2 linked regions of the Macaca mulatta genome follow. The protein of the gene in region 2 interacts with the protein of the main gene of each other region in a pairwise test. Links are inferred from orthologs where the notes say so. Each region holds a gene or a part of one and is shown on either strand. Other genes may lie near its edges.

Evidence for each region.
Region 1: the proteins of CKM (region 2) and ASB9 interact in binary tests that used the Homo sapiens proteins (3 or more experiments, as listed by UniProt). The two-hybrid records come from large-scale screens. The link is inferred for Macaca mulatta from reciprocal best matches to the Homo sapiens genes CKM and ASB9.

Annotation. Positions count from the first base shown.
Region 1 is NC_133426.1:14,910,250-14,914,067, forward strand, and holds part of ASB9 (ankyrin repeat and SOCS box protein 9), read right to left. Parts: intron 511-3,818; coding exon 403-510; intron 1-402. UniProt on the Homo sapiens protein: Substrate-recognition component of a cullin-5-RING E3 ubiquitin-protein ligase complex (ECS complex, also named CRL5 complex), which mediates the ubiquitination and subsequent proteasomal degradation of target proteins.
Region 2 is NC_133424.1:57,838,538-57,842,355, forward strand, and holds part of CKM (creatine kinase M-type), read right to left. Parts: intron 3,094-3,818; exon of another isoform or gene 3,057-3,093; 5' UTR 3,039-3,056; coding exon 2,846-3,038; coding exon of another isoform or gene 2,763-2,845; intron 1,330-2,762; coding exon of another isoform or gene 1,304-1,329; coding exon 1,149-1,303; coding exon of another isoform or gene 1,145-1,148; intron 1-1,144. UniProt on the Homo sapiens protein: Reversibly catalyzes the transfer of phosphate between ATP and various phosphogens (e.g. creatine phosphate).

The sequences.
Region 1 (3,818 bases), on a different chromosome or scaffold from region 2:
CTTGCAATCCCTGCTACCATGTGAACAAGTCCAAGTTGCCAGCCAAAGGGTGAATGACCACATAGATTTTCTGTCTCCTCAGACATCCTAGCCACCCCAGGCAAATGTGTGCTTTCCACAATATTTCATTACCTTCCAGCCATAACAATGAAGACAGAAGTCTAACAACTATTAGTAGTGTGTGATAAAGAAAATGATATAGACTGTAAGCACGACTAAAAATTTAGTATTGCATCCACCTATCACTAAAGCAAACAAGTCTGATGAACATAATTTTCTTAAAAAACAACTGTCTTCATATTTCAAATCAGCCTAATCAAAAGTGCTGGAAGCTATTCAGTAGGGATATACATAGTCATTTTTCATTCTTGGTTTCTAAGATGTTGTTTCAGCTGCCCTTACCTGAGCTCCATGCTTTAATAAAATCTTTACACAAGAGGGATGACCTCCGAGACAGGCTTCATGGAGTGGGGAGACATGATCTGCCGTGATGATGTTCACAAGCCACCCCTGAAGGAGGGGAAATAGAGTAAGGGGTGCAAAGCGACAGTGCCCCGGGGCTGTTTTTCAGCCACCATTCCAGTACTATGACAAAGTTGACCTGGCTCAAAGTCAGATGGTACACTAAGATGTTTATATTGACTTTAAAAAAACCTGCCACACGACTGGTAGGAGTGTAATATGGTATAACCACTCAGGAAAACAGTTTGACTGTATCTATTAGAGCTGACAATGCCTACGCCTATGCCTCAGCCATCTGACTCTTAGATATATATACATCTAGATACATATACAAGAATATTCACAACAGCATTGGTCGTAATAGAAACTGCAAACAAACCAAATGTCCATCAACAATGAACTGAATTAATAAACTTTGGTATAATCTTTCAGCAGAAAGATTACACCCAACAAATTATAATGGCAAGCACTACCAGGGTGATGCTTGCAAAAATAATGTTGAGCAAAAGAAGCAAAATCCAAAAGCATACACACTGAATGACTACATCAATTTAAAGTTCAAAATTAGGCAAAACTACCCCATATTGTTTCAGAAGACATAATATATAAAGTAAAACCATAAAGAAAACAAGGAAATTGGGATAATGGTTAATCCTGTGGAAGAGGACAGGATCGTGTTCTAGAAAGCATGGTAAGGGGAGGGATGGGTGACTCTGTGGAGGAGCCGGCAATGTGCTATTTTTCCATTTCCTGACCTGGGGAGGCAGTCACATGGCAATACTCTCATCATCATCACTTTTTGTTCAAGTGCACACGTGTTTAAGTTCTTTTATGTTTGTTTATGAAATTTCTCAATTTTTTTAAAGTCAGCGTGGCCCGAATTGCTAAGTTTTAAGAAGCAATTATTAAATTTTAACATATTCACAAGTGTCTCTATCTTGTGGGACAATTAAAAGGAAATTATGAAACTGCAAGGGAAAAGAAATAGACTGCATGTACCTTTTTAGGAAGCCTAAATGTACTTTATTTAGGAAATTGAAATGCACCTATTAACTAATATAATTGCTCTTTAAATGTAAGTATTTAGTAGCACATAGGATTTAATAATATTTGTAATAAAAATACCAGTTTCACCCAACTTTTTTTTCTCAAAAAAACCCTCCTTTGCCTGACATTTAATTTTTTTTCTTAGATTTCCTAGCTCTATCATAGTTTTGACAAAAGGGTCAGTAAACAACAGCCTACAGAGTCAAATCTAGACCACAACCTGCTTCTGTACAGCACAGCAGCTAGGAATGGTTTCTACATTTTTAATGGTTTAAAAGAAATCAAAGGAATATTTTGTGACACATGAAAATTTTATGAAATTCAAATTTCAGCATCCATAAGCAAAGTTTTACCAGAACACAGCCATGCCCATTCATTTACATACTGTCTACAACTGCTTTTCTGCTAAACAGCAGAGTTAGGTACTTCCAACAGAGACTGCATGGTTCACAAAGCCTAAAATATTTACTATCTGGTCCTTTACTGAAAAAAATTTGCCAAGTCTTGTCTTGATCAAAGAAAAGAATATGTCATTTCTTACTTTACTATTCGTACCTAAGATTAAATGTCCAATTGGCAAGAGAAAATACCTTATTTTCTCAGTCATCACACTTACAAAAAGTAGTTTTGTCAATGCCACAAGAGGGGTATGATTGTCACATGAAGCAAAAATCATGCAAGTGTATCAGACACAAGTGGGGGGAAAGACAGGCTGAGGTACAGAACTTGGGCAAAAGGCAACCAATAGGAAACAACCAATAGAAAATGCGCATGCTCCTCCAGCACGACTACCATTTTTAAACCGGCATTTAGACCAGGCACGGTGGCTCATGCCTGTAATCCCAGAACTTTGGGAGGCTAAGGCTGATGGATTACCTGAGGTCAGCAGTTCGAGACCAGCCTGACCAACATGGTGAAACCTCGTCTCTACTAAAAATACAAAATTGGCCGGGCGCGGTGGCTCAAGCCTGTAATCCCAGCACTTTGGGAGGCCGAGACGGGCGGATCACGAGGTCAGGAGATCGAGACCATCCTGGCTAACACAGTGAAACCCCGTCTATACTAAAAAATACAAAAAAACTAGCTGGGCAAGGTGGCGGGTACCTGTAGTCCCAGCTACTCGGGAGGCTGAGGCAGGAGAATGGCGTGAACCCAGGAGGTGGAGCTTGCAGTGAGCTGAGATCTGGCCACTGCACTCCAGCCTGGGCGACAGAGCAAGACTCCGTCTCAAAAAAAAAAAAAAATACGAAATTAGCCGGGCGTGGTGGCACATGCCTGTAGGCCCAGCTACTCGGGAGGCTGAGGCAGAATTGCTTGAACCCGGGAGGCGGAGGTTGCAGTGAGCCGAGATCGCGCCACTGCACTCCCGACTGGGGAACAAGAGCGAAACCCTATCTCAAAAAAAAAAAATAATAATAATAATAATAATAATAATAGTAATAAAACCAGCATTTAGGTGTTTATACATAAATCCAGGTAAATGAAATACAACAACACAGCTATTGGTAACACAAAACAAAAAGTTTTCACCATATACTCACATTACAGAAAGGTTCCTTCTACAAAGTTAGAAACTCATTTATAGTTCATCATCAAGCTACAGTTTTACCTCAGATTAACTGTGGTTTGTCTAAATTATTAACAAGTCTGAGTCATATAATATCATAAGGTAATTAACCCATTACTTCACACCATTACTTCACAGTGTCCAGTCCACAGTCAGTTCTTAGTTTTGGAAAAAAAAAAAAAAAAAAAGATCGAATGGCTTAACTTTAATATATTTATTTTCAGTCGTCAACTACTCTTAGTTGACAAAATGTACTTCTCTTGATTCTTGAGTTTGGATGTGGTCATGTGACTTGACCAGTGGGATGTTAGCCGATGTGACATGGACAGATTGGAAGTATTCTTGCATGGTTGGACTTGCCCTGCTGTGCTCCAGCGTTTTGCCAAGAGAAAATAATTCCTCAGGTAGCCAGTGGTCCAAGAAGGATGAAAGAGATGTGCAGCAAGGCTACACCCAACCCACAGCTGGGAGCCAAGCCCAGCCAGGCCCAGCCTTGATGAGCTGACACAAACACACATCAGCAAGAAATAATGGTTACTGTTATCATGTCACTGAGTTTTGGGGTGGTTTGTTATTGAGTTATGGGGTGGACTGACCTAGGTAGGTATCAGAATACTCATTTTATGAAAGCAGAAACTGGGGCTCTAAAAAGACATCTTACACAAATAATGGGATACAACTTGGAGATGGTTCTGGCTGATGTTTCATAAACACATAAATACTGAATGCAAATGAGTACCTG
Region 2 (3,818 bases):
TCCTTTTCTACATGCGTTTGTGCCTTTCTTCTCCCTCTCCCTCTCCTCTTTCTGTCTCCTTGGCTGTCTCTGTGTCTCTCTGTCCCTCTCTCTTTCCTTTTTTTTTTTTTTTCTGAGATAGAATCTTGCTCTGTCACCCAGGCTGGAGTGCAGTGGCACGATCTTAGCTCACTGCAGCCTCCGTCTCCTGGGTGCAAGAGATTTTCCTGCCTCCACCTCCTGAGTAGCTGGGATTACAGGCGTGCACCACCATGCCCAGCTAATTTATTTTTTTGTTTTTTTTGTTTTGTTTTTTGAGACCAAGTTTCACCCTTGTTGCCCAGGCTGGAGTGCAATGGCACGATCTCTGCTCACTGCAACCTCCGCCTCCCAGGTTCAAGCGATTCTTCTGCCTCAGTCTCTCGCGTAGCTGGGATCACAGGCATGTGCTACCACATGCACCAGCACACCCAGCTAATTTTGTATTTTTAGTAGAGACAGGATTTCTCCATGTTGTTCAGGCTGGTCTCGAATTCTCAACCTAAGGTGATCTGCCCACCTCGGCCTCCCAAAGTGCTGGGATTACAGGCGTGAGCCACTGTGCCTGGCTGGCCCATTCTTTTTTTTTTTTTTTTTTTGAGACAGAGTTTTGCCATGTTGGCCAGGCTAGTCTTTTTTTTTTTTTTTTTTTTTTTTGAGACGGAGTCTCGCTCTGTCACCCAGGCTGGAGTGCAGTGGTTTGGCCTTCGCTCACTGCATGCTCTGCCTTCCGGGTTCACGCCATTCTCCTGCCTCAGCCTCCCGAGTAGCAGGGACTACAGGCGCCCACCACCATGCCCGGCTAATTTTTTTTTTTTTTGTATTTTTAGTAGAGACGGGGTTTCAGCGTGTTAGCCAGGATGGTCTTGATCTCCTGACCTCGTGATCTGCCTGCCTCGGCCTCCCAAAGTGCTGGGATTACAGGCGTGAGCCACTGTGCCCGGCCGGCCAGGCTGGTCTTAAACTCCTGACCTCAAGTGATATGTTCGCCTCGGCCTCCCAATGTCCCTCTCTCTTTCATCTCTCTGCTTCTCCACACCTCTGTGTCTCTGTATTTCTCTCTCCCCCCATCTCTCCTGTGATCTCTCTCCTCCTCACCCCTCAGCCCTCCCCTCCGTGCAGACACTGACCTTGAGGTTCTCATGGTTGAGGTCAGTCTTGTGCTTGTCGGTGGGTTTGTAGCCCCCGTGGCGATCCGAGATGATGGGATCAAAGAGTTCCTTGAAAACTTCATAGGACTCCTCATCACCAGCCACGCAGCCCACAGTCATGATGAAGGGGTGACCTGGAGGGGTGGGGGTGAGGTCAGAACTGCTAGTCCCCAGCAAACAGGGCCTGGGCTCGTGGGCTCAGTGGAGACTGTGTGGACATGTGTCTGTCAGGGTTGTGGGGGGTACATTCAATACCTCTGGGTGGGAATTGAGAATACTAAGGGTTGGGCGCAGTGGCTCATACCTGCAATCCCAGCACTTTGGGAGGCCGAGGGGGGTGGATCTCTTGAGGTCAGGAGTTTGAGACCAGCCTGGCCAACAGGGTGAACCCTGTCTCTACTAAAAATACAAAAATTAGCTGGGTGTGGGGCACACGCCTGTAATCCCAGCTACTTGGGAGGCTGAGGCATGAGAATTGCTTGAACCAAGGGGGTGGAGGTTGCAGTGAGTCGAGATGGCACCACTGCACTCCAGCCTGGGTGATAGAACAAACTCTTTCTCAAAAAAAAAGAAAGGAAAAAAAAAAAAAGAAATAAGACTGAGGACTGGTGGGAACCGGGAGGGAAGACTGGGAGAGGTCAAGGTGGCTGGGAGGAGTCAAAGTAGGAGAGAAGAAAGAATGCGGGGCGTGGGGTCAAAGGAGAAGGGGGAGCTTCAGAGGGTACCTGGTGCTAAAAACATCAGCACCTCGGAAACATTAGCACCCAAAGTCATGACGTCTCAGCCTGAAATGTTGTTAGGATCTTGGGGTACCACCTGCCACAGAGGGTCAGGAAGGCCAGAGACTTGGAAGACCCAGTGGAAAAACAGGGGCCCGAAGAGAAAGGCCTCTCCACTGCATCACGCAGAGAGCTGGACGTGAGGGGCACTAGAGCCTCCTGTCTACTCCCAGCTCTCTTCGCCTTGTGAGCGAAAGGGCTTTGAGAAACAACCATAACATTAATAACATCCCCTATCCGATTCTCTTTTTTTTGAGACAGGGTCTCACTCTGTGGCTGAAGTACAGTGGCGCGATCTCGGTTTACTGCAACCTGCACCTCCCAGGCTCAAGCTATCCTCCCACCGCAGCCTCCTGAGTAGCTTGGACCACAGGCCCTCATTACCACACTTGGCTAATTTTTTTGTATTTTTTGTCGAGACAGGGTCTTGCTATGTTGCCCAGGCTGGTCTCAAACTCCTGGCCTCAAGCGATCCTTCCACCTGGGCCTCCCCAAATGTTGGGATTACAGGCATGAGCCACTGCACCTGGCCTCCCGTCAGAGCTTGAGCACTCACTTGGTGCTAGGCGCCACTGTAAGCACTGCACAGTCATTGACCTGTGTTTTCACAACATGGGTGCCCATTTTTCAGATGAGGAGACTGAGGTTCGGGAGATGAACCGACCTCCTCGGGGATCTCACATTATTCTCGTGCATGTTTATTGCGTGGTTTGCTGCATACCTTGCACTGTCCCAAGCCCTTTACGTATATCAGTGCATTGATTCTCACAACAGCCCCGGTTTACAGATGAGAAAACTGAGACCCCCCCCCCACTTCAGGGGAGGTGGGATGGGGCGTAGCCTGCAGCCTCTGGAGCCCCCATGTAGCCCCTTCAGTGCTCTACCAGGGAGGCTCACCTGGGTTGTCCACTCCTGTCTGGATGACATCGTCTAGGGTGAAGCCCGATGGGGTCTCCTTGTCCCGCAGCTTCTTGTAGAGATCAAGGGTCAGTACCTTGGCCATGTGGTTGTTATGTTTGCTGAGGTCGGGGTACTCCTCCTCAGGCTTGTAATTCAGCTTGAACTTGTTGTGAGTATTACCGAACGGCATGGTGGCGGTGTAGGAGACCTGATGGGCAGGGCAGGAGGGGAAGATTAGCTCGCATCTGTTTTCTTCTTCTTCTTCTTCTTTATTTATTTATTTTTATTTTTATTTATTTATTTATTTATTTATTTTTTTATTTTTTTGAGACGGAGTCTCGCGCTGTGTCACCCAGGCTGGAGTGCAGTGGCGCGATCTCGGCTCACTGCAAGCTCCGCCTCCCAGGTTCACGCCATTCTCCTGCCTCAGCCTCCGAGTAGCTGGGACTACAGGCGCCCGCCACCACGCCCGGCTAGTTTTTTTTGTATTTTTAGTAGAGACGGGGTTTCACCATGTTAGCCAGGATGGTCTCGATCTCCTGACCTCATGATCCACCCGCCTCGGCCTCCCAAAGTGCTGGGATTACAGGCTTGAGCCACTGCGCCTGGCCTTATTTTTATTTTTTTGAGACAAAGTCTCCCTCTGTCACCCAGGCTGGAGTGCAGTGGCGCAATCTCAGCTCATTGCAACCTCTGTCTCCCGGGTTCAAGTGATTCTCCTGCCTCGGCCTCCCGAGTAGCTGGGACTACAGGCACCCACCACCACGCCCGGCTAATTTTTTGTATTTTTAGTAGAGACGGGGTTTCACCGTGTTAGCCAGGATGGTCTCAATCTCCTGACCTCATGATCTGCCTGCCTCAGCCTCCCAAAGTGCTGGGATTACAGTCGTGAGCCACAGCTCTTTTTTTTGGGAAGGAGTCTCACTCTGTCACCCAGGTTGGAGTACAGTGGCGAGATCTCAGCTCACTG